Anolis sagrei: one gene and its partners. The protein of the gene in region 4 purifies or fractionates together with the protein of the main gene of each other region. This does not show direct contact. Links are inferred from orthologs where the notes say so. Each region holds a gene or a part of one and is shown on either strand. Other genes may lie near its edges.

The links.
Region 1: the proteins of RASSF3 (region 4) and STK3 purify together in Homo sapiens (affinity purification with mass spectrometry; 4 studies listed by BioGRID and IntAct, with this or other methods). This does not show direct contact. The link is inferred for Anolis sagrei from reciprocal best matches to the Homo sapiens genes RASSF3 and STK3.
Region 2: the proteins of RASSF3 (region 4) and STK4 purify together in Homo sapiens (affinity purification with mass spectrometry; 5 studies listed by BioGRID and IntAct, with this or other methods). This does not show direct contact. The link is inferred for Anolis sagrei from reciprocal best matches to the Homo sapiens genes RASSF3 and STK4.
Region 3: the proteins of RASSF3 (region 4) and VAPA purify together in Homo sapiens (co-immunoprecipitation; 3 studies listed by BioGRID and IntAct, with this or other methods). This does not show direct contact. The link is inferred for Anolis sagrei from reciprocal best matches to the Homo sapiens genes RASSF3 and VAPA.

Annotation. Positions count from the first base shown.
Region 1 is NC_090024.1:31,779,564-31,787,532, reverse strand, and holds the start of STK3 (serine/threonine-protein kinase 3), read right to left. Parts: upstream 3,004-7,969; 5' UTR 2,701-3,003; coding exon 2,678-2,700; intron 1-2,677. UniProt on the Homo sapiens protein: Stress-activated, pro-apoptotic kinase which, following caspase-cleavage, enters the nucleus and induces chromatin condensation followed by internucleosomal DNA fragmentation.
Region 2 is NC_090024.1:217,653,859-217,660,957, forward strand, and holds the start of STK4 (serine/threonine-protein kinase 4), read right to left. Parts: upstream 3,012-7,099; 5' UTR 2,834-3,011; coding exon 2,802-2,833; intron 1-2,801. UniProt on the Homo sapiens protein: Stress-activated, pro-apoptotic kinase which, following caspase-cleavage, enters the nucleus and induces chromatin condensation followed by internucleosomal DNA fragmentation.
Region 3 is NC_090024.1:64,967,879-64,975,585, reverse strand, and holds the start of VAPA (vesicle-associated membrane protein-associated protein A), read right to left. Parts: upstream 3,005-7,707; 5' UTR 2,840-3,004; coding exon 2,764-2,839; intron 1-2,763. UniProt on the Homo sapiens protein: Endoplasmic reticulum (ER)-anchored protein that mediates the formation of contact sites between the ER and endosomes via interaction with FFAT motif-containing proteins such as STARD3 or WDR44.
Region 4 is NC_090025.1:141,289,926-141,297,944, reverse strand, and holds the start of RASSF3 (ras association domain-containing protein 3), read right to left. Parts: upstream 3,008-8,019; 5' UTR 2,963-3,007; coding exon 2,842-2,962; intron 1-2,841.

The DNA of each region.
Region 1 (7,969 bases), on a different chromosome or scaffold from region 4:
TGCCTAGAGCAAACTTTTGTTGAGAGGTGGTTAGATGATCCTCTCACCTCTGCAGGAGTCTACCGTATACCATGCAGCTGTGGACAAATCTACATAGGGACCACCAAATGCAGCGCCCAGACACGCATCAAGGAACATGAAAGGCACTGCAGACTACTTCAACCAGAGAAGTCAGCCATAGCAGAGCACCTGATGAACCAACCTGGACACAGCATATTATTTGAGAACACAGAAGTGCTGGACCACTCTCACAACCACCATGTCAGACTACACAGAGAAGCCATTGAAATCCACAAGCATGTGGACAATTTCAACAGAAAGGAGGAAACCATGAAAATGAACAAAATCTGGCTACCAGTATTAAAAAAAACTCTAAAATTACAACAGCACAACAACAGAGAGGAAACAAACAAGGACATCTAATCATCTCTCAACAAAAGTTTGCTCTAGGCATTATTTATTTATTTATCTATCGTGTCATCAGCAACCATACCACTGTATTACATTTCTAACAGAACAAAACAAACACGCAGATTAAAAAAAACAAAAAACTTGGTAGTTGATTAAATGTCCTTTGACCAGTATCTGGCCACTTGCAGTGCCTCTGGTGTTGCCGCAAGGAGGTCCTCCATTGTGCATGTGGCAGGGCTCAGGGTGCATTGCAGCAGGTGGTCAGTGGTTTGTTCTTCTCCGCACTCGCATGCCGTGGTTTCCACCCTGTAGTCCCATTTCTTAAGATTGGCTCTGCATCTCGTGGTGCATCTCGTGGTGCCAGAGCGCAGTCTGTTCAGCGCCTTCCAAGTCGCCCAGTCTTCTGTGTGCCCAGGGGGGAGTCTCTCATCTGGTATCACCCATGGATTGAGGTGCTGGGTTTAGGCCTGCCACTTTTGGACTCTCGCTTGCTGAGGTGTTCCAGCGAGTGTCTCTGTAGATCTAAGAAAACTATGTCTTGATTTAAGTCATTGACGTGCTGGCTGATACCCAAACAGGGGATGAGCTGGAGATGTCTCTGCCTTGGCCCTTTCACTATTGGGTGCTACTTCTCGGCGGATGTCAGGTGGTGCAATACCGGCTAAGCTCTAGGCACTGTCAAGCTCTAGGCCAGTGGTTCTCAACCTTCCTAATGCCGCGACCCCTTAATACAGTCCCTCATGTTGTGGTGACCCCCAACTATAACATTGTTTTCGTTGCTACTTCATAACAGCCATTTTACTGCTGTTATAAATCATAATGTAAATATTAGATATGCAAGATGTATTTTCATTCACTGGACCAAACTGGGCACAAATACCCAATGCACCCACATGTAAGTGGGGTTGGGGGATGATTGATTTTGTAATTTGGGAGTTGTGGTTGCTGGGATTTATAGTTCGCCTACAATCAAAGAGCATTCTGAACTCCGCCAGCGATGGATTTGAACCTAATTTGCCACACAGAACTCCCATGACCAATGGAAAACACTGGAAGGGTTTGGTGGGTATTGACCATGAGTTTGGGAGTTGTAGTTCACCTATATCCAGAGAGCACTGTGGCCTCACGCAATGGTGGATCTGGACCAAACTTGGCACAAATACTCAATATGCGCAAATGTGAACACTGGTGGAGCCTGGGGAAAATAGACCTTGACTTTTGGGAGTTGTAGTTGCTGGGATTTATAGTTTATTACAATCAAAGAGCATTCTGAACTCCACCAACGATAGAATTGGCTCAAACTTCCCACATGGAATTCCATGACCATCAGAAAATACTGTGTTTTCTGATGGTCTTTGGTGACCCCTCTGACATCCCTTAGCAACCCCCTCAGGGGTCCCGACCCCCAGGTTGAGAAATACTGCTCTAGGCACTGTCAAGCCACTGTCAAGGTGGTCATTTGAAACATTCACACCTAGCTCCAGCAGACAAGAATCCTTTGTCCCACCCTGGTCATTCCACAGATATATAAACCCTTTTTCTTAATTCCAACAGACCTCACTACTTCTGAGGATGCTTGCCATAGATGCAGGCGAAACGTCAGGAGAGAATGCCTCTAGACCATGACCATATAGCCCAAAAAAACCTACAACAACCCAGTGACTCAGGCCATGAAAGCCTTCGACAATAAACTATGATTTTGATTATTTGAAACAGGTGGTCATTTGAAACATTCACACCTAGCTCCAGCAGACAAGAATCCTTTGTCCCACCCTGGTCATTCCACAGATATATAAATCCCTTTTCTCAATTCCAACAGACCTCACTACATCTGAGGATGCTTGCCATAGATGCAGGCGAAACGTCAGGAGAGAATGCCTCTAGACCATGGCCATATAGCCCGAAAAAACCTACAACAACCCAGTGATTCAGGCCATGAATGTCTTGGACAATAAACTATGATTTTGATTATTTAAAGTGAAAGGGCACCCCCCCCCCCTTTACTGAAGTTCTCTCTCCTTCTGCTCCTACTGAATTCAATGAATGTGTTTATAGATGGCGGGGTGCCTCCTTGTGACCCCAAAGTCCCTCCAACACAGGGCCAGAGCGAGGCCTCTGGAGGGAGAAGGCCTCCCGGGGGAATCAAAGCAGAGCTGCGGTGCGGCCTAGCCCGGCTTCCTTCCTCCTGGCGCCCAAGGAAAGCCTCGTCCCCACCCGCCCGCCTCTTCCCCTTCCCCGGGGAGAAAGGGAGGCCGCTGGCTGTTACCTTTTCGGCGCGGCCTGCTCCATCCTGACGCCAGCGGCTCCGCAGGTCCCCCTGACTGGGCCTGGCCGAGGAAGGATCCCCTTCAGAAACTCTCCTCACAACTTTCGCCCGCTGCTGGCCCTTTAAAACGCCCCCTCCTCTTCCGGAGCCGCACTTCAATCGCAACCCCTCTGCCACTCAAGCGTTGGCCCACCCACAACCCTTCCTATTGGCTGCAAGGGGGTTCTGCTTAACGGCTATTGGCCCTCGCAAAAGCCAGTCGGAAAGCCAGAAAGCGGAAGAGAAAGTTGCTTCAGGCCCGGTGAATCTACGAAGGGACTCAATGGCCAGGAGGGACCAGAAGGGAGGGATTACGTCATCGTAATACGTCATCGACGGAGGGCCGTAAGGGCTCTTTTGCCCATCATGCACCGCGCCAATATGGTCTCCCAATGGGGAACGGTGCATGCTGGGCAATGTAGTCTTTGCTCATCATAAAACAGGACTCAACAGCAAAACCGCAGAGAGGGAACAACCAGGCACATCTTAACACCTCTCAACAGAACATTTCCCCAGGCTCAGCCAGGCCTTCAAATGCTAATGAAGGTGGTCAGCTGAAACATTCACACCTAGCTCCAGCAGACAAGAGTCCTTTGTCCCACCCTGGTCATTCCACAGATATATAAACCCATTTTCCTATTTCCACAGACCTCACTACCTCTGAGGATGCTTGCCATAGATGCAGGCGAAACGTCAGGAGAAATGCCTCTAGAACATGGCCCTATAGCCCGAAAAAACCTACAGGAACCTAGGAGAGTGATTTTTATACACCTGGATTGATATACACCTGGTACACCTCGCCTGAGGATTATTGTATACCATGTTTTGTAATAATTTTGTGCACACTGAACCATCATAACACAAAGATGCAAAGATGTCACTGTTTTAGGATGCATCTACACTGTAGAGTTGATCCACTTTGACACCCTTTCAACTGCTATGGCTGAATACTGTGGAATCTTGAAAGCTGTAGCTTTATCAGGTGTTCAGCCTTCTCTGAGAAATAATGCAAACCACAACTCCCAGGATTCCATAGCAATGAGCCATAGCAATTAAAGTGGTATCAAACTGAATTAATCCTACAGTGTAGACTAGGCATGGGCAAACTTCATCCCTCCAGATGTTCTGGACTACAACTCCCACAATTCCTAGCAGCGTCAGGCCCTTTCCTTTTCACCCTCAGCCGCTTAAGCGGCTGAGGGTGAAAAGGAAGGGGCCTGAGGCTGTTAGGAATAGTGGGAGTTGTAGTCCAGAACAGCTGGAGGGATGAAGTTTGTCCATGCCCGGTGTAGACGCACTCTGTCACCCATTTAGATAATTTCAGGATGAGGGATGCTCAAACTGTTTAGCAAGCCTTGCAAATGCTGATTTCTTTTCAGTAAATGTTTGGTTTTTATACTTATTTTATTCTTCAATATCTGGGGTCACATAAAATGTTTTCAGGCCAAAACGGGTGGAAAAGTTTAAGAAGCCCTGTTTCTTAAACAATGGGTACCAACCCCAAATGGGTCATTAAAAAAATTGGCCATGTAAAAGTTTTCCAAATGCCACCTAGTGGCTGTTTTAGACATTTACATGAACCTGTTGTGCAGCATTTACAGTGGGCTCAGTAGAAGATGCGGCTGCCGCACTTCATAAAAAAGATCTTGTCCTTTCCCCTTACTACTTTTCTATCCAAAGTCTTAATTGTCTAGTTGTAGTTTTATCAGGGGTTTAGCCTTCTCTGAGAAATAGTGCAGCTCTTATCCTTTTGCTGCTTTATCACCTATACACATTAGACCTACCATTAAATTGTTGTACCAGACCATCCTCCTACAATGAGACTTGAATTGGTGGTTGTTCCTGATGCTTGTTTTATTGTTTTTTATAATGTTGCTTATGTTGTTTTTATATTGATTATTGCATTTTATATTGATTATTGCATGTTATGTTTTAACTGTTGACTGGGCTTGGTTTCATGTAAACTGCCCCGAGTCCCTTCAAGGAGATGGAGGGAGGGTATAGAAATAAAGTTATTATATTATTATTATGTGAAATACAAGATGAGTCCACAGCAAACAAAAACACTTTGCTGGCTGTTGTATTTGATCACACATTGGACACTTCCCAAGTGTCTAGGACTGTGTGATGCATCGGTGAATAATGCATGCAGATCCCTGTAGGGTGGCCTTTTGCAGCTGACAGATGGTAATTTTGTCAGCGCTGATTGTGTTTAAGTGCAGGCCAAGGTCTTTAGGCACTGCACCCACTGTGCCGATCACCACTGGGAACACCTTGTCCGGCTTGTGCCAGAGTCTTTGCAGTTCAATCTTTATATCCTCATATCATGTCAGCTTTTCCAGTTGTTTCTCTTCAATCCTGCTGTCATCTAGGATTGCAAGATTGACAATCCATAAAACTCTGTCTGTCTGAATTCGGAAGTCGCAGAGTAGTTTGACATGTTCATTTTCTGTAACTTTTTCCGGCTTGTGATTCCACCAGTTCTTTACCACAGGCAGGTGGTATTTATGGCACAGGTTCCAATGAATCATCTGAGCAACGGTATTATGCCTCTGTTTGTAGTCTGTCTATGCGATCTTCTTGCAGCAGCTGAGGATGTGATCTATTGTTTCATCTGCTTCCTTGCAGAGTCTGCATTTGGGATCTGTCATCGACTTTTCAATTCTGGCTTTGATGGCATTTGTTCTAATATTTATATTATTTATATTATAAATATAACTATAATATATAATGTATAATAAATAATAATAATTATTATTATTTATTATACATTATATATTATAGTTATTATTGTTGTTGTTATAAAAAGGGAAACCAGGCTGTTTAGCAAGCCTTGCAAATCAGTAAATGTTTTATATATACATATATATCTGAGATCACATAAAGATTTCTCAGGATGAAAGAGCTTGTGAGTGTAGAAGCCCTGGCCTAGGCCAGTTGGATTATTTTGGTTCCTCAGGACCCTTCCACACAGCCCCATATCCCAGAATATCAAGGCAGAAAATCCCACATTATCTGCTTTGAACTGGAATATATGCCAATGTGGACTCAGCTAACCCAGTTCAAAGCAGATATTTTGGGATTTTCTGCCTTGATATTCTGGGATATGGGGCTGTGTGGAATGGCCCTCAGATAGAAAAGGAGGCACGCATCTTTCCTGGAAGTAAAACATAAAATCTAAGGGCCCTCCCACATAGGCATATAACCCAGAATATCAAGGCAGATGATCCACAATATCTGCTTTGAACTGGATTATCTGAGTCACACTGCCGTATAATCTGGTTCAATGTGGATTTTATACAGCTGTATGGTTATTATGAACTGTCAAGCGGCTGATTTTTCATGACCAAATACATCCCTTTAGTGGCCTTTTCCTGTTACCTAATTTTAACATCACAATAATCTGGCATTTGAAGTGCAGGAAAAAATGAAAATACTATTTGCTTCTGGTTAAATATACTTATACTAAAGAAATAAACAATCAAAGGAATTTCCTTCTTCAAACTGAAAATCAAGCATCATAGCAATTGATCCACAGTGTTACTAAAGCATGACTATGGCCCCTTCTACACTGCCATATAAAATCCAGATTATCTTCTTTGAAATCTATTATATGGTAGTGTAGACTCAGGCCCCTTCTACACTGTCATACAATCTAGATTATCGAAGCAGATAATCCACATTATCTGCCTTGAACTGGATTATATGAGTCTGTACTGCTATATAATCCAGTCAAAGATAGATTATATAACTGTGTAGAAGGAGCCTGAAGCTGAATCTACACTGTGCTACATCCCAGAATCTGACCCCAGATTATCTACTTATATTATCTGGCAGTGTAGACTCATATTATCCAGTTCAAAACAAATAATCTGGGATCAGATCCTGGAATATAGAGCAGTGTAGATCAAACCTTAGGTTAGGGTATATACAGTAGGAGTTTTTTCCCTTATGAAATAAAACCTTACATTTAAGGAATTCCTGATCAGACTGCGAATAATCATCCATCCATCCCTCCCCACCTCTTTTTTGTTGCTTTCTTTATATCAGTAGAATAGAATAGCCAGCCACATTGATTTCCATCACATCAATGTCATGGTTTATCCGTTTCCCTCTATTATTGAAGACCTGGATGAGAGAGAAAGAGAAATGCAGTCTCTTTATTCATGAACATTAGTGTCAGAAACATGAAACTGCAACAATGAGAGATGGAAATCTGACACGCTCGCTCTGCATTGGGTGTGAGGAGGATTCGAAGTATGGTGTTAGAGAACCTTGCCCTGTTGAAGAGAATGCACCACATAAATCAGCCAATAACCTTGGCTACATTTGTCTAGAACTAAACCAAAGAAAGAGAAAACAGGCAGAGCAGAAGTCTGTTCCCTTATCAGCTTTAGTAATCTTATTCACACTGAGAGACCAGATGTAACTAAGGGGCCCAGGGAAAAATAAAAAGAAGATGGACTGTAAGAAGATGCACAGTAATGTACAATCTGCATTTACAGTTCAATAAACAGATTGATAATCTGCATATATGGTTCTGCTACGTAAGGGAAATTTCTACAATATCTGCTAGCAAATGCATACCATCCAGTGGGATTCTTATTTGACAGACTGCTGGTGAAAATCAGGGTGTTATTGTGATGATGTCATTAGCGAGACGTCTCAAAAAAGACGTCTCAAAAAAGAAATGACTGAGCATTACCCTATAGTGACAAAAATTAAGTTTGTTCCTGAGTTTCCATCTACATTACCCTATAATACAATTTCATAATGCAGTTTAACTACATTGAACTGCATTAAATATGGGATCAAATTTAGAGTAAGGACCACGGTAATGCACGTCCCTGCCCGGCGAGCTTTATGCTAAACCAGATTTTTCCCAATTGAAAGCACACTCACCAAGACTGAAAGCAGTAACAGAGGCTTATTTGCAACCTGGCCAGATATTTACGTGTACAGCTAGCACCAAAAATACACACATGTTCGCGAATACAGAGACACAAGACTTTATAAACTTGACAGCTATTTAAACTTTCTTGCTCCACCGACTCCCTTCCCTGATTGGCTAGAGGAAGAGCTGGTTTGGATCCGGGCTCCCATTGGCCGCTGTCTCTATGACTTGTCACCTCCATGCAGGGATTCCCCTGGAAGGGATTGATCTGGGGAGTGCCAATCAGCTGTTGAGGGGCAGCTTTTCTGGAATGAGACGAGTCTTGGAAAGTCTGTGTCCACCTCTGGAAATGCAAATAA
Region 2 (7,099 bases), on a different chromosome or scaffold from region 4:
GTAACTAACAGAAAATATTTCAGTTTTGACAACTTGGGACCTGTACTTTCAGTGAAACTTTTTCTACCATGGATGATAGTACAAATATGTACATGCAGACATGGTATGAGTTATATTAACACCGAAGACTTGATCACACTCAATCCAAATCCACCGTGAAGAAAGCTGACATTTTATTAATATGAATAATTTTAATGTGCTTTAACCTACACATTTTAAATGGGCTTATATTTTTATCTGTGTATTTTAACTATGTTGTACCATGACTTGAGAAGCTGTGGGTAAAAAAAAGTATTATTTTTAAAGAGTGTATACATGTACGGAAGACGTAAAAAGAAATCTTCTTCCCCCATCAAATAGAAAGTATTCCACTATTTATACCCACTGGGAATCTCATCTCCATCTGATAACCTCCAAGGCTGCATCCACATTGCAAAACTAATGCAGTTTGAAACTTTGACTGCCTTGGCTCATTGCTATGGACCTGTGGTACCTATAGTATGGTGAGACATAAAACCTCTTTGATAGAAAAGGCTTAAGATCTTGTAAAACTACAATCCCCATGTTCCTACAGCATTGAACCATGGCAGTTAAACCACTCATGGAGTGCCGTAAAGGGAAGTTTATGTTCTTGGATGACAAAATTTCTCCTGAGATGCTTGACAAAGAAGGGCAAGCGGAGCAAATGCAAAGATTTTAAAGTTTGTATATTTTTAGGTTTTAAATTGTATTGCATTTGTTTTACTGAAGCCGCTTTGAGTCTCTTTTGTAGAGAAAAAGGGGAATATGAAGAAGAAGGGTACATGTTTTTAGATAAATATTTGTTTACATCTTTTTGTTTTTAATTTGTGCATTTTTATTTTTTAATGTTGTTAGCTGCTTTGCGTTATTTTGAAGACAGAAAAAGGAGATAATAAATACTAATATTTTTAAAAAATAAATATTTGTTTATATCCTTTTGGTTTTAATTTGTGCATTTTTATTTTTTAACAGTGTTAGCTGCTTTTGAATCATTTTGAAGACAGAAAAAGTGGGATATAAATAATATTAAACAGAGTATATATTTTGAGATAAACATTTGTTTACATCTTTCTGGTTTTAATTTTGTGCATTTTATTTTTTAATATTATTAGCTGCTCCTGAGCTATTTTGAAGACAGAAAAATCAGGGCATTCATTAATAAAAATAATAATAATAATTATAATAATAATAGGATATATGTTATCTATATAAATAAAAATGTAATTTTAGTTTGTGGGATTAACATAGCTGAAAAACCACTGGACGAATTGACACAAAATTTGGACACTATACCCTTAACAGACCAATGAGTGACCATAACTCATATCCCCCCCCCCCCAAAAAAAAAGCCAGCGGAAAAAAAAAATTAAAAACCAAAAAAAAACTAAACAACAATACAGTGCATATTTCCAATTTCGTATTCCTGGACTGCAACTCTCCTGTTTACCTCTCCGAACGTATTCTCCCCTACGAACCATCAAGATTATTAAGATCATCTGGAGAGGCCCTGCTCTCGGTCCCACCGGCCTTTCAAGCGCGTCTGGTGGGGACGAGGGACAGGGCCTTCTCGGTGGTGGCCCCGCAACTCTGGAACTCTCTCCCACCGGAGGTCAGAACCGCCGCGTCTATCCTGACACTTAGGAAACGAGTGAAGACGTGGCTGTGCAGTCAGGCTTTCGATGAATGAGACAACACCCTAGGATTCTGGATGGAAGATGATGTAGATCTGATTTTAATATGACGACTGACCACCGTAGTTTTATATATAGTGTTATTTTAAACTTGTTATTGTAATTGTGATATATGATATTTTAATGAGTGTATGTGTTTTTATGGTTGGAAACCGGGCTGAGTCCCTCAATGAGATTGAGAAGTTCGGTATAGAAAACTTTGAAATAAATAAATAAATAAATAAACTCTCAGCAATCCTCCAGATAGATAAGATAGATAGATTACACGTCTTTCCACAAACGCCACTATCACCTTTTCGCCCATGTTTCAGCACTATTTCCAATTTTAATTTTACATTTGGCCTTCCCACAGTTTTTAATTGTATGTTGTCTTATTGATAATGTGATATGTTTATTGTTTATGTTTTTATTTTAATTGCTTGTATTGTTGTGTTCGGGCTCGGCCTCATGTATTGTTGTATTGTTGTGTTCGGGTTCGGAGATGGTAGCGGGGTACAAATAAAGTATTATTATTATTATTATTATTATTACATAGAGATAGGTAGGTAGATCGATCGATCAGGAGGACTGCTGGGAGTTGCAGTCCAAGAATAGGAAGGAAGAAGGAAAGACAGAAAGAAAAAAGGGGAAGATAAAGAGAGGGGAAGGAAGGAGAGGTAGAGAAAGAAGGAGAAAAGGAAAGAAAAAAGAGAAGGAGAGAAAGGGGAAGGGGAGATTGGACACAGCAACGCTAGTTTTAAATAAATATTTGTTTACATCCTTTTTGTTTTAATCTGTGCACTTTTATTCTTTAATATTGTTAGCTGCTTTTGAGTCACACTGAAGAGAGAGAAAGCGGGATATAAATACTACAACTAATAATCATCATCATCATCATCATCATCATCATCGGGATGAAATACATTCCCCAAGGAGGAGGAAAAAAGGAAGGCCTGAGAAGGGCGGGGAGGCAGTGGGGGAAAGAAGAAAGCCTTTGACACCCAGCCGACCTTCCCCTTTGCCTCAAGCACTGGCCCCACCCCGCCCTCCTTTCCCCCCTTTCGAGGCTGCCTCCTCCCTCCCTCCCTCAAGCCCTCCAGAGCTTCTCACCGGCGCGGGTGGCGCAGCTGCACGGTCTCCATGGCGGCCTCCTCCTCTTCTTCTTCTGCCCCCGACTGAGGGAAGAGGCTGTGAGGGAGGCCAAGGGCGCCGCACACACCACTCACTCCTTCACTCACCGCCGTCGCTCCATCCCTTCGCGCGTGCTGCCGGGCTCTGAGAAGAACCTCTCGCTCAGCCCCGCCCTCCCAAGGCACCAGGCCCACTTCCGCTTCCCGGCAACAGCCAATCCGAAGCCCGCCCGCTAGAGAGCCGCGCGCGGCACGAACCACGTGCTTGCTTCCCCCCCCCTCCTCAAACTCTTGGAGGAGATTAAGCCCGCCCCCTCGATGGGCGTGGCCGAGCTCGCGCAGCAGCCTGAGTTCAGTCCAGTCCCAGGCTGTGGAGCCGTGGGAGCTGTAGTTTGGCTGAAGTCCCATCTACATTGCCCTATAATCCGAGTTTCTGAATCCAGATTATAATATAATAAATAACTACAACTCCCAAGTGTCAAGATTCTATTTTCCCCAAACTCCACCAGTATTCACATTTGGGCATATTGAGTATTCGTGTAGAGTTTGGTCCAGATCCATCATTGTTTGAGTCCACAGTGATCTCTGGATGTAGGTGAACTACAACTCCAAAACCAAAGGACACTGCCCACCAAACCCTTCCAGTATTTTCTGTTGGTCATGGGAAAACTGTGTGCCAAGTCTGGTTCAATTCCATCATTGGTGGGGTTCAGAATGCTCTTTGATTGAACTATAAATCCCACCAACTACAAGTCCCAAATGACAAAATCTTTTTTTTTTTTGAGTGAAGGACATACACTGAGTTGTTAGGTGTCTTGTGTCCAAATTTGGTGTCAATTCGTCCAATGGTTTTTGAGTTCTGTTAATCCCACAAACAAACATTACATTACAAGGGAACCACTGACCGCATAGGGAAGCTGATGAGGAAACATAACATACAAACCATCTACAAACCCACCAAGAAAATCCAACAAATGCTATGTTCAGCAAAGGACAAGAGGGATCCTCTCACCTCTGCAGGAGTCTACCATATACCATGCAGCTGTGGACAAGTCTACATAGGGACCACCAAACGCAGCATCGCCCAGACACGCATCAAGGAACATGAAAGGCACTGCAGACTACTTCAACCAGAGAAGTCAGCCATAGCAGAGCACCTGATGAACCAGCCTGGACACAGCATATTATTTGAGAACACAGAAATGCTGGACCACTCTAACAAGTACCATGTCAGACTACACAGAGAAGCCATTGAAATCCACAAGCATGTGGACAATTTCAACAGAAAGGAAGAGACCATGAAAATGAACAAAATCTGGCTACCAGTATTTAAAAACTCTAAAATTACAACAGCAAAACAACAGAGAGAAAACAACCAGGCACATCTTAACACCTCTCAACAAGAGATTTTCCCAGGCTCAGGCAGGCCTTCAAATGATAATGAAGGTGGTCAGTTGAAACATTCACACCTAGCTCTAGCAGAGAAGAGCTCTTTGCCCCACCCCAGCCATTACACAGATATATAAACCCATTTTCCTATTTCCAACAGACCGCACTACCTCTGAGGATGCTTGCCATAGATGCAGGCAAAACGTCAGGAGAAATGCCTCTAGAACATGGCCCTATAGCCCGAAAAAACCCGCAAGAACCTATATATATATAAATGCTCTGTGCATAATGAGTACCTTAAAAACAAAAGAACCAATGGACGAAATCACACCAAATTTTGGCAACAAAACATCTCACAAGACAAGGAGTGACCATCACTCAAAAAATTATGCTTTTGTCATTTGGGAGTTCAATGAATGAACTGAACCAAACTTGGCACACAGGACTCCCTTGACCAATAGAAAATACTGGAAGGGTTCTTGGTGGGCATTGACCTTGAGTTTGGGAGTTGTAGTTCACCTACATCCAGAGAGCACTGTACACTCAAATAATGATGGATCTGGACCAAACTTGGCACAACCACTCAATACGCCCAAATATTAACACAGATGGAGTATGGGGAAAATAGACCTTGACATTTGGGAGTTGTAGTCACTGGGATTCACAGTTCACCTACAATCAAAGAGCATTCTGAACCCACGAATTCAGAATGCTCTTTGATTGAACCCACGAATGACAGAATCGGGGCAAACTTCCCATACTGAACCCCCATGAGCAACAGAAAATACTTAAGGCCATCCAGTCCAACTCCCTTCATCAGGGCAAGAAAATGCAAACACTCAAAATATTAAAAGTAAAAAGGCATTTACAAGTCAACAAGGCTGAGGTGATGTCCAAGTCAGTGATTAAGGTGCTGGCTGAAGAAAATTATTATAGGATCTATAGGGGTCTAGTTACCATCCCCCTCCCACACCTGCCTTATCTTCTTTCAACTGGATTATAGGGCAGTGTAGACTCTTATAATGAATCCAGTTCAAAACAGTTAACGGTTCTGGCCCAACTTACCTGTCCGAACGCATCTTATGAACCCTCCAGGACTTTAAGATTGTCTGGGGAGGCACTGCTCTCGGTCCCGCCTTCGTCACAAGTACGTCTGGCGTGAACGAGAGACAGGGCCTTCTCAGTGGTGGCCCCTCGGTTATGGAATGCCCTCCCTAAGGATATCAGATCGGTCCCCTTCCTTTTAACATTTCGAAAGAGAGTCAAGACTTGGCTCTTTGAGCAGGCATTTCCAAATATAGTGTAATAGACATAGGAAAATGGAATGGTTGGACGATGTGATTGAACAATGTTTTTTAATAGGAGACACTAATGTTCATGTTTTTATTGATTTTGTTATAGTTATAGTTTTATTATCCAACTAGCCACCCCCTGCCATGCGTTGCAGAGGTCTGGATGGGAACCGCCCTGTGCTCCCTCAGGAAGATAGGGTGGTAAATTATTATTATTATTATTATTATTATTATTATTATTATTATTATTATTATTATTGCATAGTTGGTGGTTGCAAATGATTATGGTTGTTGGAGAAATACATTTTACTGTGACATTTTCTAGCTTTCTTCACATTTATTAATCAACTAGCTGTGGCCCACTCTGGTGGTCATGGGGTTCTGTGTGGGAAGTTTGTCCCAATTCTATCGTTGGTGGGGTTCAGAATGCTCTGTGATTGTAGGTGAACTGTAAATCCCATAAACTATAACTCCCAAATGTCAAGATTCTATTTTCCCCAAACTCCACTAGTATTCACATTTGGGCATATTGAGTATTCGTGAAGAGTTTGGTCCAGATCCATCATTGTTTGAGTCCACAGTGATCTCTGGATGTAGGTGAACTACAACTCCAAAACCAAAGGACACTGCCCACCAAACCCTTCCAGTATTTTCTGTTGGTCATGGGAAAACTGTGTACCAAGTCTGGTTCAATTCCATCATTGGTGGGGTTCAGAATGCTTTGATTGAACTATAAATCCCACCAACTACAAGTCCCAAATGACAAAATCTTTTGGGGGGGGGGGGTGAAGGACATACACTGAGTTGTTAGGTGTCTTGTGTCCAAATTTGGTGTCAATTCATCCAGTGGTTTTTGAGTTCTGTTAATCCCACAAACGGACATTACATTTTTATTTATATAGATTTTATAGACTGCTCCGAGCCTTCGGGGAGTTTAAAATTGATTAATAAAATAAATAAATAAATAAATATGGTGGATTTGCATTGAGTGTGATAAAATATTTGGTGTTAATATAACTCATACCATGTCTGCAAGTACATATCTATACTACTCCTTAGTAATCTTTAGATGAATGCTTGTAAGTGTAATTAAGTCATGATATTATGTGAAAAAATGCAGTCTAAATGTCAGTGTTGAGTCCATCCATAGTAGAAAAGGGATCACTGAAAGTACAGGTCCCAAGCTGTCAAAAACAGAAATATTTTCTGTTAGTTACCCTGGTGCATCCTAGGTATCTGAGTGGTACTAGCTCTTTGGCATTCCCCAGTTGTGTCTTGACATAACACTAAATGTTTTTGCATTTCAAAACTGACTATCTTCTAGGCTTGCTTGCATCACTGCTATAAGGAAATCATAAGCTTTTCTAGTTTCATGTTATGTACATCACCATTTAGGGTGTCATTTGAACTATAGTAGTGCAACCATTCGGATTTATGATCTGAGAGTAGATTACTTCTATTGCTAACATCAACCACATTTTTTTTTAATTTTAGCAGCACTGCAAAATGCAGTTAAGCAAAAGAGCCTATTCCTCAGTGTTTCTATGATGACAAACCATAGTTAGGAATTAAAATTAAAACCAGCCTTGTGTTTTGG
Region 3 (7,707 bases), on a different chromosome or scaffold from region 4:
GAATGAAATTATTCTGATTTTTGCCCTCAAAGTTGTAGTTTAATTTATTCAAAAAACTCAAGAGGGGTAATAGTATTTCTAACTGCTACAAGTTCACACCACTCCCTACACCTAATTGAGCCGGTCTGTAAATAACAACAATTCCTGCCAAAAATGGCCAGATTTATTCTCTCAACATTTATGGAACCTTGTGCTAGTCAATGCTGAAGTACAATTTTGTAACAGGGATGTTTCATTGTATTATGACAGCTACCCTTCAAGAGCTCTGGCTAAATTCAAAATGCCACTTCAATTTCAAAATTTTCAGTACTGTCCTGCCAAACACCCCATTGTGTAAACAATAATAATAATAATAATAAACAGCTTTTCCCAACTATAGATAAACTGAAGCCCCTTCCACACAACTGAATAAAATTTCACATTTCCTGCTTTGAACTGGGATATATGGAGTGTGGACTCAAGATAACCCAGTTCAAAACAGATATTGTGGGATTTTCTGCCTTGATATTTTGTGTTATATGGCTGTGTGGAAGGACCATGGGATATATGGCAGTATTGACTGACGACCCTTCCTGACAGGCACTATAACTCAGGATCTGATCCAAGGCTTTCTGCTTTAAACTGGATTATATGACTCTCCACTGCCAGATAATCTGGGATAAACAGAAAACCTAGGATCAGATCCTGGGATATAGGATCTGTCAGGAAGATACCTCAGATAACCCAGTTCAAAGTAGATTTTGTGGGTTATTCTGCCTTGATATTCTGGGTTATATGGCTGTGTGCAAGGGCCTTGAGGATTGAAGCAACAAATATTCAGCTCACGGAAACTTCTCAGCACTTGGCAGGGAATTATTATTACCTCTCAAGAAGAGGTTCGAACCAACGGGAACTGCCTTTTAATTCACGTAGAATGCAACACACAGATTTCAATGTGGTATTCACAAAATACAACACTTGAAATGTCAGGAGAATTAGTGTAGAAAACGCCCCTAGCTGTGCTCCTGGATGACACATCAAAGGGCGTTGGTGCAAAATGCCACCACTACGACTCTGCATGGGAGGAGGAGGAGAGTAGGCTCCGGAGGGGCAACATTCAAAGCAGGAAGAGGCAGGGGCGTGTGTGTAATGTGGGGGTGGGTGCCTGTCGTGGGGGATTGGGGAAGACAACGCCTAAAATACAGGAGGAAGCGTGTGAGGCTCTGATCCTCCTCCCAGCCTTATTATTATACAAGCCAAGAACATCCATCTATCCATCCATCCACCCGCATCTTGGGCCTGGCGCACACAACACAGGGAAAGGCAGGGAAGCAGCTTCCCGGAAGCCTCCGTCTCATATGAGCCTGTCACAGTTGCGACACAGAAGAAGGGATTTGGGAGGTGAAACAGACTCAGGGCCCTTCCACACAGCCCTAATATCACAGAATATCAAGGAAGAAAATCCCACAATATCTGCTTTGAACTGGGTTATCAGATAATGTGGGATTTTCTGCTTTGATATTCTGGGATATAGGGCTTTGTGGAAGGGCCCTCAGAACCGTCAGCATTGCAATGGATGTGATATTCTTTTCCACCATGCTCGATCAGAATCTCAATGGGCTGTGTGGAAGGGCCCTGAGTGGTATGTGAGGGGCCTTCCACATAGCCCTATACCCCAGAATATCAAGGCAGAAAATCCCACAGTATCTGCTTTTAACTGGGTTATCTGAGTATACCCTCAGATAATGTGGGATTTTCTGCTTTGATATTCTGGGATATGGGGCTGTGTGGAGGGGCCCTGAGTGGCAGAGGGTGCTCTGAATGGCTTTTCCTGCTTTTTGACAGGGGGTTAGACTGGATGGCCAACTCAATGATTCTACTTTGGAAATGACGGCGATATGGATGGGAAAATATCGACAAGAAAAGGTGTTTTTGTTGGCTCTTCTGGGCCCCTTCAACACTGCCATACGATCCTGATTACGGAAGCAGATAATCCACATTATCTGCTTTGAATTGAATTACACTGCCCTATAATCCAGATTATCGAAACAGACAATCCACAGGATCTGCTTCGAACTAGATTATACAGTATGAGCCCACACTGCCATATAACCCAGTTGAAAGAAGAGAATTTGGATTTTGTATGGCAGTGTAGATGGGGCCCTGGAAGCCCGTGAAGGGAGGCTGAATGAAGACCCCTCCACACAGCCCTATATCCCAGAATATCAAGGCAGAAAATCCTACATTATCTGAGTGTGGACTCAGATAACTCAGTTCCAAGCAGATATTGTGGGATTTTCTGCCTTGATATTCTGGGATATAGGGCTGTGTGGAAGGGCCCTGAGAATGTATTTTTGTCTCTCTGGTGGAAAAGGCATATGCATGTAATCCCTGCAGAGAGAGAGAGAGAGAGAGAGAGAGGCAAGGCGCCAGTCCGGCTCTCAGCTGAGAGAAGGGCAGGCGGAAAGAGACAGCGACGACGCCATGCGGAAGGGAAGGGAAAGCGAGGCAGGCCTCCCCAGCCCCCGACTGGCTGGCTGGCTGGCTGACCGGGAGCCTGGGCCCGAGGAGGCGGAGGAGGCCGCGAGGAGGGAAGCGTCAGCAAGATGGCGACGTCTCGTCCCGTTTCCCCGCTCGGAGCCTCCCCAGTGGCGACGGGCCCAAGCCTCCTTTTACAGGCCCCGAGGGAAGCCGCCCTCGATTTCCTCACAGCTCCCGGGGAGAAGGAGGCCCTCCCTCCTCCCCCCCCCCCCGAGAGGAGGCTTCACCTCCCTCACGGCGTACCTTTGAATTTGAGGTCGGTGGGCGGATCGAGCACCAGGATCTGGTCGTGCTTGGCCAGAGCCCCCGCGGCCGCCATCGCTGCTGCTCACACGTTCGCCTCAGTCCGGGAGCGGGAGGAGGAGGAGGAGGAGGAGGAGGAGGGCGCTCCGGTCGGGGAAAAGGAGGGGAGGGACGGAGAGGAGGAGGCGGAAGACGCGTAACAGGAGCACGCGCGCTCTCGTCAAGGCAAGCAGGCGTGTGTGCGCGCGCGCGCTCTCAGGGGCCCGCCTCAGCCTATGAGAATGCTTGTCATCTCTCTCCAATGGCACGGAGGGGCAAGCGGCCGGTTTAAGTTCTAAAAATTTTCGTTTCTCCGTCTTGCGAGAGAGAGAGAGAGCGCGCGCGGCTGCGAGACGCCGCGAGAGAGAGTCGTCTTCGCCGCTCTCGACACACGCAGGCGTGCGCGCGCGCGCGCGTTCCTTCCTGAGTGCCGCGAGACCGTCATTGACAGCTCGCCTCTCTCTCTCTCTCACTCTCTCTTTCACAACACCAGAGATGCGCTCGAGCCGGGTAGAGCGAGAGAGAGAGAGAGAAGAGCGCGCGCCGCTGTTTCGTGTCACGCGCGTCCTGGAGGGAGGAAGGAAAGGGAGAGATGGAAGTACAGGGAACACAAGAGCCCCCGGTGGCGCAGTGGGTTAAACCCCTGTGCTGGCCGAACTCAAGACCGACAGGTCGCAGGTTCGAATCCGGGGAGAGGCTCCACCTCTTCATATGGCTTGAATCCGTCTGTCAGCTCTAACTCGCCATGTGGGGACATGAGAGAAGCCTCCCACAAGGATGATTAAAAACATCAAATCATCCGGGCGTCCCTTGGGTAACGTCCTTGCAGACGGCCAATTCTCTCACACCAGAAGCAGTTTCTCAAGTCGCTCCTGACACGACAAAAAAAAAAAGGGAACACAAGACATTTGAATCCCTGTCAGGAGGGAAGATTGACAGGTCGGAAAGACAAGGCGGGGATAGTGAGAAGAGAGAGAGGTGCTTAAGTCAAAGTGGAAAAGAAAGGGAATTCGAGACCTATTCGACGTCGCCACAGTGAAGGGGGAAGCAGAGGACTACGACTCCCAGGATGCAGCGCGCGAGCCCGCTCCCCGAATTCTGCGGTCGGCGGGGGGCCAGGGCATGCTGGGAATTGTAGTCTCGAGGGAGGGAAGGGGGCACACACAGCCCAGGATGGGAGAAGGTGGGCGTTTCCCCCCTCAGGTTTAACACCCTTTGTGAAAGGAGAGGACAGGTTTAAAGCCTTGCCTTTCCTTCCAATCTGGACAAACGTTTCCAGCTGTCAAATTCAGAAATAATCCGGGTTTGCTAAATTTCAAACGTGTACAAAAATGCTCAAAATGCATCATGGCAAGCTTTCGAAGATCTCCTGATTTTTTGTATAACTGTGATTGCTTACAGTAGCGTTTCTCAACCTGGGGGTCGCGAGGGGGTGTCAGAGGGGTTGCCAAAGACCAGCAGAAAACGCAGTATTTTCTATTGTTGATGGGAGTTTTCTATTGTTGATGTAGTTGCTGGGATTTATAGTTCACCTACAATCAAAGAGCATTCTGAACCCCACCAAGGATAGAATTGGGTCAAACTTCCCCCAACTACAACTCCCAAATGTCAACGTATATTTTCCTCAAACTCCACCAGTATTCACATTTGGGTATATTCATGCCAAGTTTGGTCCAGATCCATCATTGTTTACTCTCTCCATACAGTTGAACTACAACTTCAAAACCCTTCCAGTATTTTCTGTTGGTCATGGGAGTTTGTGTACCAAGTTTGGTTCAGTTTCACCGTTGGTGAATTTCAAAATGCTCTTTGATTGCAAGTAACCCAGCAACTACAACTCCCCAATGACCAAATCAATTCCCCCTAACCCCACCAATATTGTTTTGGGGTGCATCAGGTATTTGTGCCAAATTTGGTCCAGTGAATAAAAATATATCCTACATATCAGATATTGACATTACAATTTATTACCGCAGAAAATTACTGTTATGAAGTAGCAAATAAAAGAATTGTATAGTTGGGGTCACCACAAATTGAGGAACTCTATTAAGGGGTCGCAACATTAGGAAGGTTGAGAACCACTGGCTTATAGTGTATTGGCAAACAAGGCGAGTGGAATTTCAGACATCAAAGAGGGATGCTATCAATAATCATAACATGGGATCCCTCCCTGACAGTCATTCAGAGTTGTTTCCGACTCTTCGTGATCTCATATTATATATATATATATATATATATATATATATATATATATATATATATATATAATATACATGTAATATTTATAATATTATAATGTAATCCAATATAATAATACTACTAATAATAATATGATATTATAATTATACTAGCTGTACCCGCCACGCGTTGCTGTGGCCAACCTTCCCTCCCTCTTTCTCTCCTTCTTTATTTCTCTCCTTCCCTCCGTTTTTCCTTCCTTCCCGCTTTTTCTTTTCCTTCTTTCTTCCTTCTTTATCTGTTTCTTTTCTCGCTTCCTTTGCTCTTTAGTTCCATCCTTCCTTGTTTCTTTCCTTCCTTCCCTCCTTCTCTCTCTCTTTCGTTCATTCTCTCCTTCCTTCCCTTTCACTTTTTTATTTCCTTCTCTCCTTCCTTCTCTACCTTTCTTTCTTTCCTTCTCCCCTCCTTCTTTCCCTCTTTCTCTCCCTCCTTCTCTCTCTCCTTCTCTCCTTCCTTCCTTCTCTACCCTTCTTTCTTTCCTTCTTTGTCTCCTTCTCTCCTTCCTTCTCTACCTTTCTTTCTTTCCTTCTCTCCTTCTTTCCCTCCTTCTCTCCTTCCTTCATTCTCTACCCTTCTTTCCTTCTCTCCTTCCCTCCTTCTTTCCCTCTTTCTCTCTCCTTCTCTACCCTTCTTTCTTTCCTTCCTTCTCTCCCTCCTCTCCTTCCTTCCTTCCTTCCCCCTTTTCTGTGTATGTATTTTGTGTGTGTATATGCATATATGTGTATCTATGTGTGTTTGTGTATATATGCGTGTGGTTTTGTGCATGAGTTGTAATGTATTTTGGGGTGGGTTTTTTTACTTTTTAAGTCCCTCCGCTGTGTTTTTTCCATGTTTTAATGACTAATGGACACTCGTTGGCCTGATAGGTGTCTTGTGTCCAAATTTGGTGTAAATTTGCCCAGTGGTTTTTGAGTTCTGTTAATCCCACAAACAAACATTACATTTTTATTTATATAGATATTTTATATTATATGTAATATTATTAATAATATATATATGCGTGTTTATTATATATTAATATATGCATATATATTAATTACATATATATATATGTATTAATATTATTAATAATATTACAGTCTAATGGTATAGTACAATATTGTAATCTATAATACTGATATTGTGCTATGCTAATAATATGTATTGTGCAAATTTTAAATGACTACCATGTTGACAAAAAGGGATCTGTTGCTGGTTGATATATTAGTTTGTGTGTGTGTGTGTGTGTGTGAAGCCCACAATACAATCTTCAGACACTAGGTGGCAGTCTTATCCAACCAGTTCATAGGTAGTTAGCAGTTTAGTCCAAGTTGAGGCCAGGGCAACCAAGAAAGAAGACACAATAGGCTCTCTGTAAAATGGAACCCAAGCTACTGTAACTCTCAAGCAACCAGCAAAATATATAGTTCAGTACTGTATTCTCAAGGCTATTCTTATAATACAGGAAAACTCTTGTCACATTACATTTGTCTTTAGTTGCTTTTTGTTGAAGTATCTCAACATTAGTATCAAATCAGTAGAGTTCATAGAGCCCCCGGTGGTGCAGTGGGTTAAACCCCTGTGCCGGCAGGACTGAAGACCAATAGGTCGCAGGTTCAAATCCGGGGAGAGGCGGATGAGCTCCCTCTATCAGCTCCAGCTTCTCATGCGGGGACATAAGAAAAGCCTCCCACAAGGATGATAAAAACATCAAATCATCCAGGCGTCCCCTGGGCAACATCCTTGCAGACGGCCAATTCTCTCACACCAGAAACAACTTACAGTTTCTCAAGTTGTTCCTGACACGACAAAAAAAAAAGTAGAGTTTATAGCAGGGATGGGCAAACTATGGCCCTCCAGGTGTTTTGGACTTCAGCTTAAGAGGCCAGAAATGTATTTTCTGTGGAATGTATTGTACTCATGACTACTATAACTTAACCTATTGATTTCATTGGACACTTTTAAATAAATTAAATTTGAATATAGTCCTGTGAGCTTATATTAGATGTGCATGAACAAGATCGGAGCTCCCTGTGGCACAACGGGTTAAACTGCTGAGATTCTGAACTTGCTGACTGAAAGCTCAGCAGTTTGAATCTAGGGAGTGGGATGAGCTCCTGCTGTTAGCCTCAGCTTCTGCCAACCTAGCAGTTCGAAAACATGCAAATGTGAGTAGATCAGTAGGTACTGCTATGGAGGGAAGATAACAGCACTCCATGTAGTCATGCTGGCCACCTGACTTTGGAGGCGTCTACGGAAAATGCCAGCTCTTTGGCGTAGAAATGGAGATAAGCACCACCTTCCAGAGTCAGACACGACTAGGGAAACCTTTACCTTAACTGTGAACAAGATATGGAGTGCAATCCTATGCATATATACTTAGAAAATAATTATCAATTTTCAGTGGTGTTCACATCGAAATAAGTATCAGCTTCACAGCATTCGCTTACAATATTAGGAAAACTGTTTCCAGGATATCTACTGTTACTATTCTGGTTTTTGTGAAATGACTTTGTAATTATGTATGTTTAACCTGGCAACAGGAGAATTAAGATCAATTGAATTTTTAAAAAATCTTGTACAGTTGCATCCAAGTGGTACTATATACCATGGCATACAATTCTTGCATTCTTATTTGACTTGATTTATAAAATATTTATTCTTTTTGGTCAGCTTGTATAGTTTTTA
Region 4 (8,019 bases):
TTTCAAATATAGTGCTGGCCTTGTCTTTATCTTTTAGTAGCAATAAGGAATGAGAAAATATGAGCAGTTGTCTAGTCATTTGTGGGAGTTTTTCTCTTCAGAGGGTTCTCTGGTACCCTACTCAAGAGGGAAAGAATATTTTGTTTTACCACTTTTTCAAAGGGTCATGTAAACCAATACTATTGCATTGTTGTTGTTTTTTTTGAAATGTTTTAGTTTACTTCTGCTTCAACCTGATTGTTTAATTCGGCTGCAGTACAGAACTTGCTATAGATCCTTTATTTTTATTTTTTAAATATTTGATTACAAGCTGGTCTAAGTATTATACAGACAGAACAAGATAAATAGATGATAAATAGATGAACAGATTGATTTTTAAAAAATACTTTTGTTAAAACCTTTATTAAAACCAATTGTTTAAAACCAAAAGTTATTGCACACATACCAGGTTGCTATTTTCTCAGAAATTGAAGCAAGATTGACATTTTCATACCTCTAACCTAGGTTAACTATGCTACATATGTTCTTGTTGCTCTGTGCCTTCTTCCAGTTACCTCCAATTTATGGTAGGCTGGCCCTATCATGGGTTTCAACTAGTGCAGTGGCGCAGTGGGTTAAACCCCTGTGTTGGCAGGACTGAAGATCGGCAGGTCACAGGTTCGAATCTGGGGAGAGCACGGATGAGCTCCCTCTATCAGCTCCAGCTCCCCATGCAGGGACATGAGAGAAGCCTCCCACAAGGATGTTAAAAACATCAAAACATCCGAGCGTCCCCTGGGCAATGTCCTTGCAGACGGCCAATTCTCTCACACCAGAAGCGACTTGCAGTTTCTCAAGTCGCTCCTGACACGACAAAAAACAAAACAAAACAAAAAACTAGTAAAACAACCTGGATTAGCATGATTGGTTTCCCTCTAGTGTTGAACACAGAACATTACAACAACAAAACAAAATCACTTCTTTAAATTAGGAGGCGCAATGGGTTAAACCAGGGGTCCTCAAACTTTTTAAACTGGGGGCCAGTTCACTGTCCCTCAGAACGTTGGAGGGCCGGACTATAGATTTTTTTAAAAAAAATAAATAAAAAAATTCCTATGCACATTGCACATATCTTATTTTGCTGTATGGAAGGGCCCTTAGAGGGGGTTCTTTCTAACCTTCTTTAGGCAGTAATTCCAGGAGCAGAGAATGGGAAATCTTCCTATTTCTAGTCTGAACAAAATCTGGCTATCAGTATTACAAAAACTCTAAAATTATAACTGTAGGGGGAAAAAAACAACAACCAAAAACAGGGGAACTCCAGACAAGAAACAATCAGGGCCAGCTAATCACCTCTCCCTAAAAACTGTCAGGCTATGAAATGGTAATCAAGGTGGCCAATTGAAACATTAATACCTACCTCCAACAGACAAGAGTTCTTTCTCCCACCCTGGATCTTCCACAATTTTCCTAGTTAAAGGTTTTCCTCTGACATGAAGTCCAGTTGTGTCTGACTCTGGGGTGTGGTGCTCATCTGCATTTCTAAGTCGAAGAGCCGGCATTGTCTGTAGACACCTCCAAGGTCATGTGGCCGGCATGACTGTATGGAGCACCGGGGCAGCCTCCCCGATGGGCAGCGTGAGCCTGCCAAGGGAAGAGCAGCACCGCGCGGCCTACTTTCGCATAAAGCACCTCGCGAGGCTCATGCTGCCCATCAGGCGCGATGGGCAGCATGAGCCTGTCAAGGGAGGAGCAGCACCGCGCGGCCTACTCGCGCATAAAGCACCTCGCGAGGTGCTTTACATTATTTACTTACTTACTTAGGCGATCCCTCGTTGTCTGAGTAGGATAGTCTTCCAAGATCAGTGTACTGGTGGGTCCGTAGGTGACTGTGGAGCCCTATTCTTGATCTGCATCTTCTCCCGCAGTGAGGACATTGGTTTTCAGGTGGAAGGCAGTCCCGGTTGGGGTGGGCATGATGCGCCTTCCTCATAGCATGTTTCTCTCATTCACCCTCCATTCGTGCCTCTTCAAATTCTACAGCACTGCTGGTCACAACTGACCTCCAGCTGGAGTGCTCAAGGGCCAGGACTTCCCAGTTCTCAGTGTCTATGCCAGAGTTTTTAAGGTTGGCTTTGAGCCCATCTTTAAATCTCTTTTCCTGCCCAACAACATTCCGTTTTCCATTCCTGAGTTCGGAGTAGAGCACTGCTTTGGGAGATGGTAGTTGGACATCCAGACAACGTGGCTGGCCCAGCAGAGTTGATGGCGGAGGACCATCACTTCAGTGCTGGTTGTCTTTGCTTCTTCCAACACGCTGACATTTGTCTGCTTATCTTCCTAGAAGATTCGTAGGATTTTCCAGAGAGAGTGCTGATGGAAACGTTCCAGGAGTCGCATGTGATGTCTGTAGACAGTCCACGTCTCACAGGCGTATAGCAGGGTTGGGAGGACAATAGCTTTATAAACAGTCAGACCCCCTTGATGGACAAGAATGTTGTCTAAATATGGCAGAAAATAGATCTATATCTACAGTCAGATCCCTAAGTTATTAACAGACACTAGCAACAAAATGACCCTCCCCCACACACACACAAATTGGTTGTTCTATAATTAAATAATGGTTGATGTGGCCAAGAGTTGGTGTCTGTATGGCAAAGAGCTAAGTTCAGTTTTAGTATCCATGACACATTGCCAGGTTCACATACCTTTAGTTCTAGGTACATGTCTTAAGAATTAGGTACTTTAAAAGTAGCACCACTAACATATTACACAGGATGTCAGAAGAAAGCACTTCACATCTATTAAAAATGAATACTTCATCATTCAGTTTCACCCCCGAGAAAAGAAAGAACAACCTACCAGAAGATTTGCAGAGAAGTTTGATTTTCCTTCTTCGTGGGTTACCCAAAGCCTTAGGGAACCAATAAAAAAACTGAGCTATCCTTCTAATAGTCCTGTTAATGTCATTTCTTATTGCCATTGCTAAAGGCTGCTTGCTACTCTTGAGGTAGAAAGAGTAGTGTAGAAAGGAAAGAAAACGCCTCAAATATCAACACACTGTTCAGATAGCTGGGAATAGACCCTCAGCCAGCCTGTCTCAAGACCACCTGTTGGTCCTAAATCCTCTTCTCCCCATTCGGTGAGCCAGAGATCTCTATCTTTATATGCAACAATAGCACTAGATTATCAAGTATTTTATTTATACAATAGTAAGATTAAGTCCGCTGTGTCTTTGCAAAATGCATACTCATTTCTAGGTCTGTTTCTAAAATCGTATTCTTTGCCGTATTTTCACAGGTTATGAACCAACGGTTTTCCATTTAGAAATTATTTTCTTGAATTAACAGAATTGGTAATATTATTGTTTTAATATGGTTGCTGAAGGAAATGAGATGCGGCTTAGAGAAAACTATAACAAAAAACGATCATGAATATACTTAGTTATTTTTTTATTGTAGACTTTCTGCTAAAGTTTTCTCAAACATTAGTCCTAAATCATCGATCTAAATCAGTGGTTCTCAACCTTCCTGATGCCGCAACCCCTTAATACAGTTCCTCGTGTTGTGGTGACCACCAACCATAACATTATTTTTGTTGCTAATTCATAACTGTAATCTTGCTACTGTTATGAATGGCAATGTAAACATCCAATATGCAGGATGTATTTTCATTCATTGGGGCTGATTGTGTCATTTGAGAGTTGTAGTTGCTGGGATTATAGTTTCCCTACAATCAAATAGCATTCTGAACTCCACCAACAATGGAATTGAACCAAACTTGGCACACAGAACTCCCTATGACAAAGAGAAAATACTGGAAGGGTTTGGTGGGCATTGACCTTGAGTTTTGGAGTTGTAGTTCACCTATATCCAGAGAGCACTGTGGACTCAAACAATGATGGATCTGGACCAAACTTGGCACAAACACCCAATATGCCCAAATGTGAACACTGGTGGAGTTTGGGGAAAATAGACTTGACATTTGGGAGTTGTAGTTGCTGGGATTTATAGTTCACCTAGAATCAAAGAGCACTCTGAACTCCACCAATTATAGAATTGGTGGAGTTCTCACACAGAACCCCCATGACCAACAAAAAATACTGTGTTTTCTGATGGTCTTTGGCAACTTCTCTGACACCCCCTCGCGACTCCCCCAGGGGACCCAACCCCCAGGTTGAGAAACACTGTTCTAAACAAATTACTTTTGATGTAACATGAATCAAGCCACTTAATAATGTAACTTTCAGGATCTCAATTTTCAGTCTGCAAAATGGACATGACATATTATCAGAGGCGACCCTAGGCAATTTTCAATGGTAAGCAAACAGTATTTTGGTGCTCCCAACCAATCACTGATATATATTTTTCTGTTCATCGTGGGAGTTCTGTGTGCCGTATTTGGTTCAATTCCATCATTGGTGGAGTTCAGAATGCTCTTTGATTGTAGGTGAACTATACATCCCAGTAACTACAACTTGCATATGTCAAGGTCTATTTTCCCCCAAGAGCGCCTCAAGAGCGCCCCTAGGCAAAATCAACTATACTGCAAATGCTTACTTTGCTTAATGGGTTGAGCCGCCTCTGCATATTATTACATTTGGATAAAAGGGCTTTCAGGGAACTGAATAGACAAAACTGTGGTGATCAAAAATACTTTATGATTTCATCTAAAACACTTACATCCTCCCCTTCTCAGCCTATTTCTCTTAGTTATCTAATTTTTAGGAGTAGACTTTTTTAATAGAAACAGACAAAACAGCACCCTGAAGATGTTACGGAGCAAAGGCCCTGGCTGGCAGAATTGCAGAAATGTTATTAAAAGCTTGTATAACACAAGGCAGAACATCAACTGTTCTGCAGATAGCCATGTCCCACTCCTACAGACTTAAACATGTGAAATATTTAACCCAACACTTTCAGATATTTTTAACTTACTGTCTTTTCTTTCCACACTGAATAAGGATAGCTAATATTTCCTGGGTCAATGTGTCCCTAAAAACAAAGCAAGCATTCCACTTGTACCAAATGTGTCACAATTCTTTGGCCAGGGTCAGTTTAAGAATAGGAGAGATATATCTATCTTGAAGAGTGCTGTTTTTGCACAGGAAATGAAACACACATTTAGGCAGGACCCATTGTTGCTGCCAGAATCTATGATTCTCCCCTCCTTTCTTCCCATCTCTTCAGAGTAATCTTTTAGGGTATTCAGGAAGGGGCTATATAAAGAGAGTTGCTAGTTCTGGCAAAGTGAGTGGAATCTAGTTTAAAACACAGATTCGGTATCTCAATGGATAGCTAGGATAGGACATTAATAAACATTTCATTCTTTGGTTTCCAACCTTTTTTGTACCAGGGACCTCTTCATTGGAGCATGTAAAAATCAGTTGGCGAGTGTGTTAACTGAAAATGCAAAGCACAAAGCTGATTGGTTGAGCTATGCCCAGGATGCTAGCTGAGCCTGGGAGTTTTGGCAACAGTTACATGTTTAGATTTTCTGTACAGGAGCTTGCCAGGAAAAGTTAGTAATTTTTTTTCTACTTCTGAGCTGCTGAAAGACGATCCTTCACATGGACACCCAAGGAATATTTAAATCTCTCTCAAAGGACATTGTGTGGGTTAATGCAACATGACTGTTTATATGTTGCTCTGCATAACAAAGAGTAAAAACCTTATTCTTTACTGATCATCTGCGTGGCATATCTCTTCTCTAGCAAGACAGTGTATGGATTGGTAAAGAGGTGAACTACGTGTGATTTTCATTCTGCTACACACTTGACCAGAGATCACTTTGACCAGGGACCATTTGACCAGGGACCACTTGAACAGGGACCACTCTCCAACATTAGTACCAAAAGGGTTATAAATCAGATTTTGGTCAACTTTAGATTCAGTTTGGTTGTTTGGGGTGCTGATTCAGAAAATGGCATTGGATAGACCACATTGGCTCTAGTTTCTGATACAGAACATGTGCCATCCAGTAGTCACCATCTGCTCGCCCACAGAAAATCAGATCTGGTAGTAGTAGTCTTTCATGGGTAGTCAGCCTCTCCCTTCCTGACATCTCCGTTGCCTTGGCACTATAAGAGGATTTTGTGAGACCAGTTGCTCTTGTTGCCACATGGTTTTGAGGCAACAGTATAGTAATAGTGAAACCACGGACCATATTTTTATTGTTGGGGACCACTGGTGGTCCATGGACCACAGTTTGGGAACCACAGTTTGGCCCACTAAATCATCAATTAATTTAAATTAAGGAAGCTCATGGTACAGTGCTAAATTACATGGTTTACATCTGAAAAATTCAGCTCAATCCTTGCCAGTTCCTGGTAAGAATACAAAAGGGATATGACTGAAAACTTGGGGCACTGCTGCCAGTTAGTGTGGACAATACTGAAATAAATGGATCAATGGTGTGACTTGGGCACATCTATGGCAGGAATCCTCAGAAGTTGTCAGGTCCTCACCTCGCAACCTCTGAGGATACCTGCCATAGATGTAGAGGAAATGTCAGGAGAGAATGCTTCTGGAACATGGCCATACAAAAACTTAATAGCTTTGCATTAATGCATCAAAAGGTATTCCCCTGACATTAAGTCTAGTCATGTCTGACTATGGGGAGTGGTGGTCATCTCCTTTTCTAAGCCGAAGAGCCGGCATTGTCCATAGACACCTCCAAGGTCTTGTAGCCACCATGACTGCATGGAGCACCATTACCTTCCTGCACAAGCAGTACCTATTGATCTACTCACATTTGCATGTTATCAAACTGCTAGGCTGGCAGAAGCTGTGGCTAACAGTGAAAGTTCACCTCACTCCCCGGATTTGAACCGCCAACTTTTCAATCAAAAAGTTCAGCAGCTCAGCGATTTAACCCGCTGCGCCACCAGCATGCATTATCTTTATTTAAAGAGTTCTCTCTTTTTATATGTACTAAGTAATTCATTATTTAGCTACAAAGTGTCAGTGCTGATGTAATTTCATTCAAAGAGAGCTTTTAGTGCTTTTTCATGACAGAGAAAACAATAGGAAGCCCCAACTAAGAGTAACATGCTTTGTTGGAGGGTACAGTGTAATGTTTTTGAATTGTATTCTCTAATGTTTGGCAACAAAAGCAAAATAAATAACCTTTGAGAAGCAAATTAGAAGTACAATTCAGCATACTTCAGTGCAGGATATGCAATTGTATTTTTACATTCTAATGGTTAGTGTTTGAGAACAAAAGGAAATAAAAACATAGCTTTTCAGGAATCATTGTTTTGAGAATTCCACTTCACATCCTTTTGTTTTGAAGAGCACAAAACATTCAACTTAAGGACAAACTAAGAATGAACAACTAGAAAAGCTTCCTCTGTTCTGACAAAATAAAACGTGAAAGCTAGTTCAACTGATTTTGCTTATCTTTGGTTATTCTGAAAGTTAATGTAGTCTGAAAGTATTCTGGCACAAAGGGAACTTACAAATAAAAATTTGTAGAACTGTATGTATCTGTTTATCTTCACAACTGTTCCATTTTATTCCTCATTCTTTCTTTATCATTTGTTAAGGATTCTCTGTTCACTAAACATGCTGCATCCCTTTTATTCCCTGCTCTCTAAATTGCATTGCATATTGCTTTGGTTTCACCCTTTTTAAGTGGGTGGGTGAGGTGGCCACATTTCTGTCTAATTCTAACTATACAAAACTCTATCCATTCATCTCTATTGGCTGGTTTCAAGTTGCTTCTGACTTATGGCAACCCAGTGGCACAATGGGTTAAAATCTTGTGCTGGCAGAACTGAAGTCCGACAGGTTGGAGGTTCGAATCAGGGGAGAGTGTGGATGAGCTCCCTTGGTCAGCTCCAGCTTTCCATGCGGGGATATGAGAGAAGCCTCCCACAAGGATGGTAAAACATCAAAACATCCAGGCATCTCCTCAGCAACGTCCTTGCAGATGGTCAATTCTCTCATACCAGAAGCAACTTGCAGTTTCTCAACATAAAAAAAAATCTTGAATGTTTATTTAAGAATTTGTGTTTGGTTGATCGAAATGACTATGTGC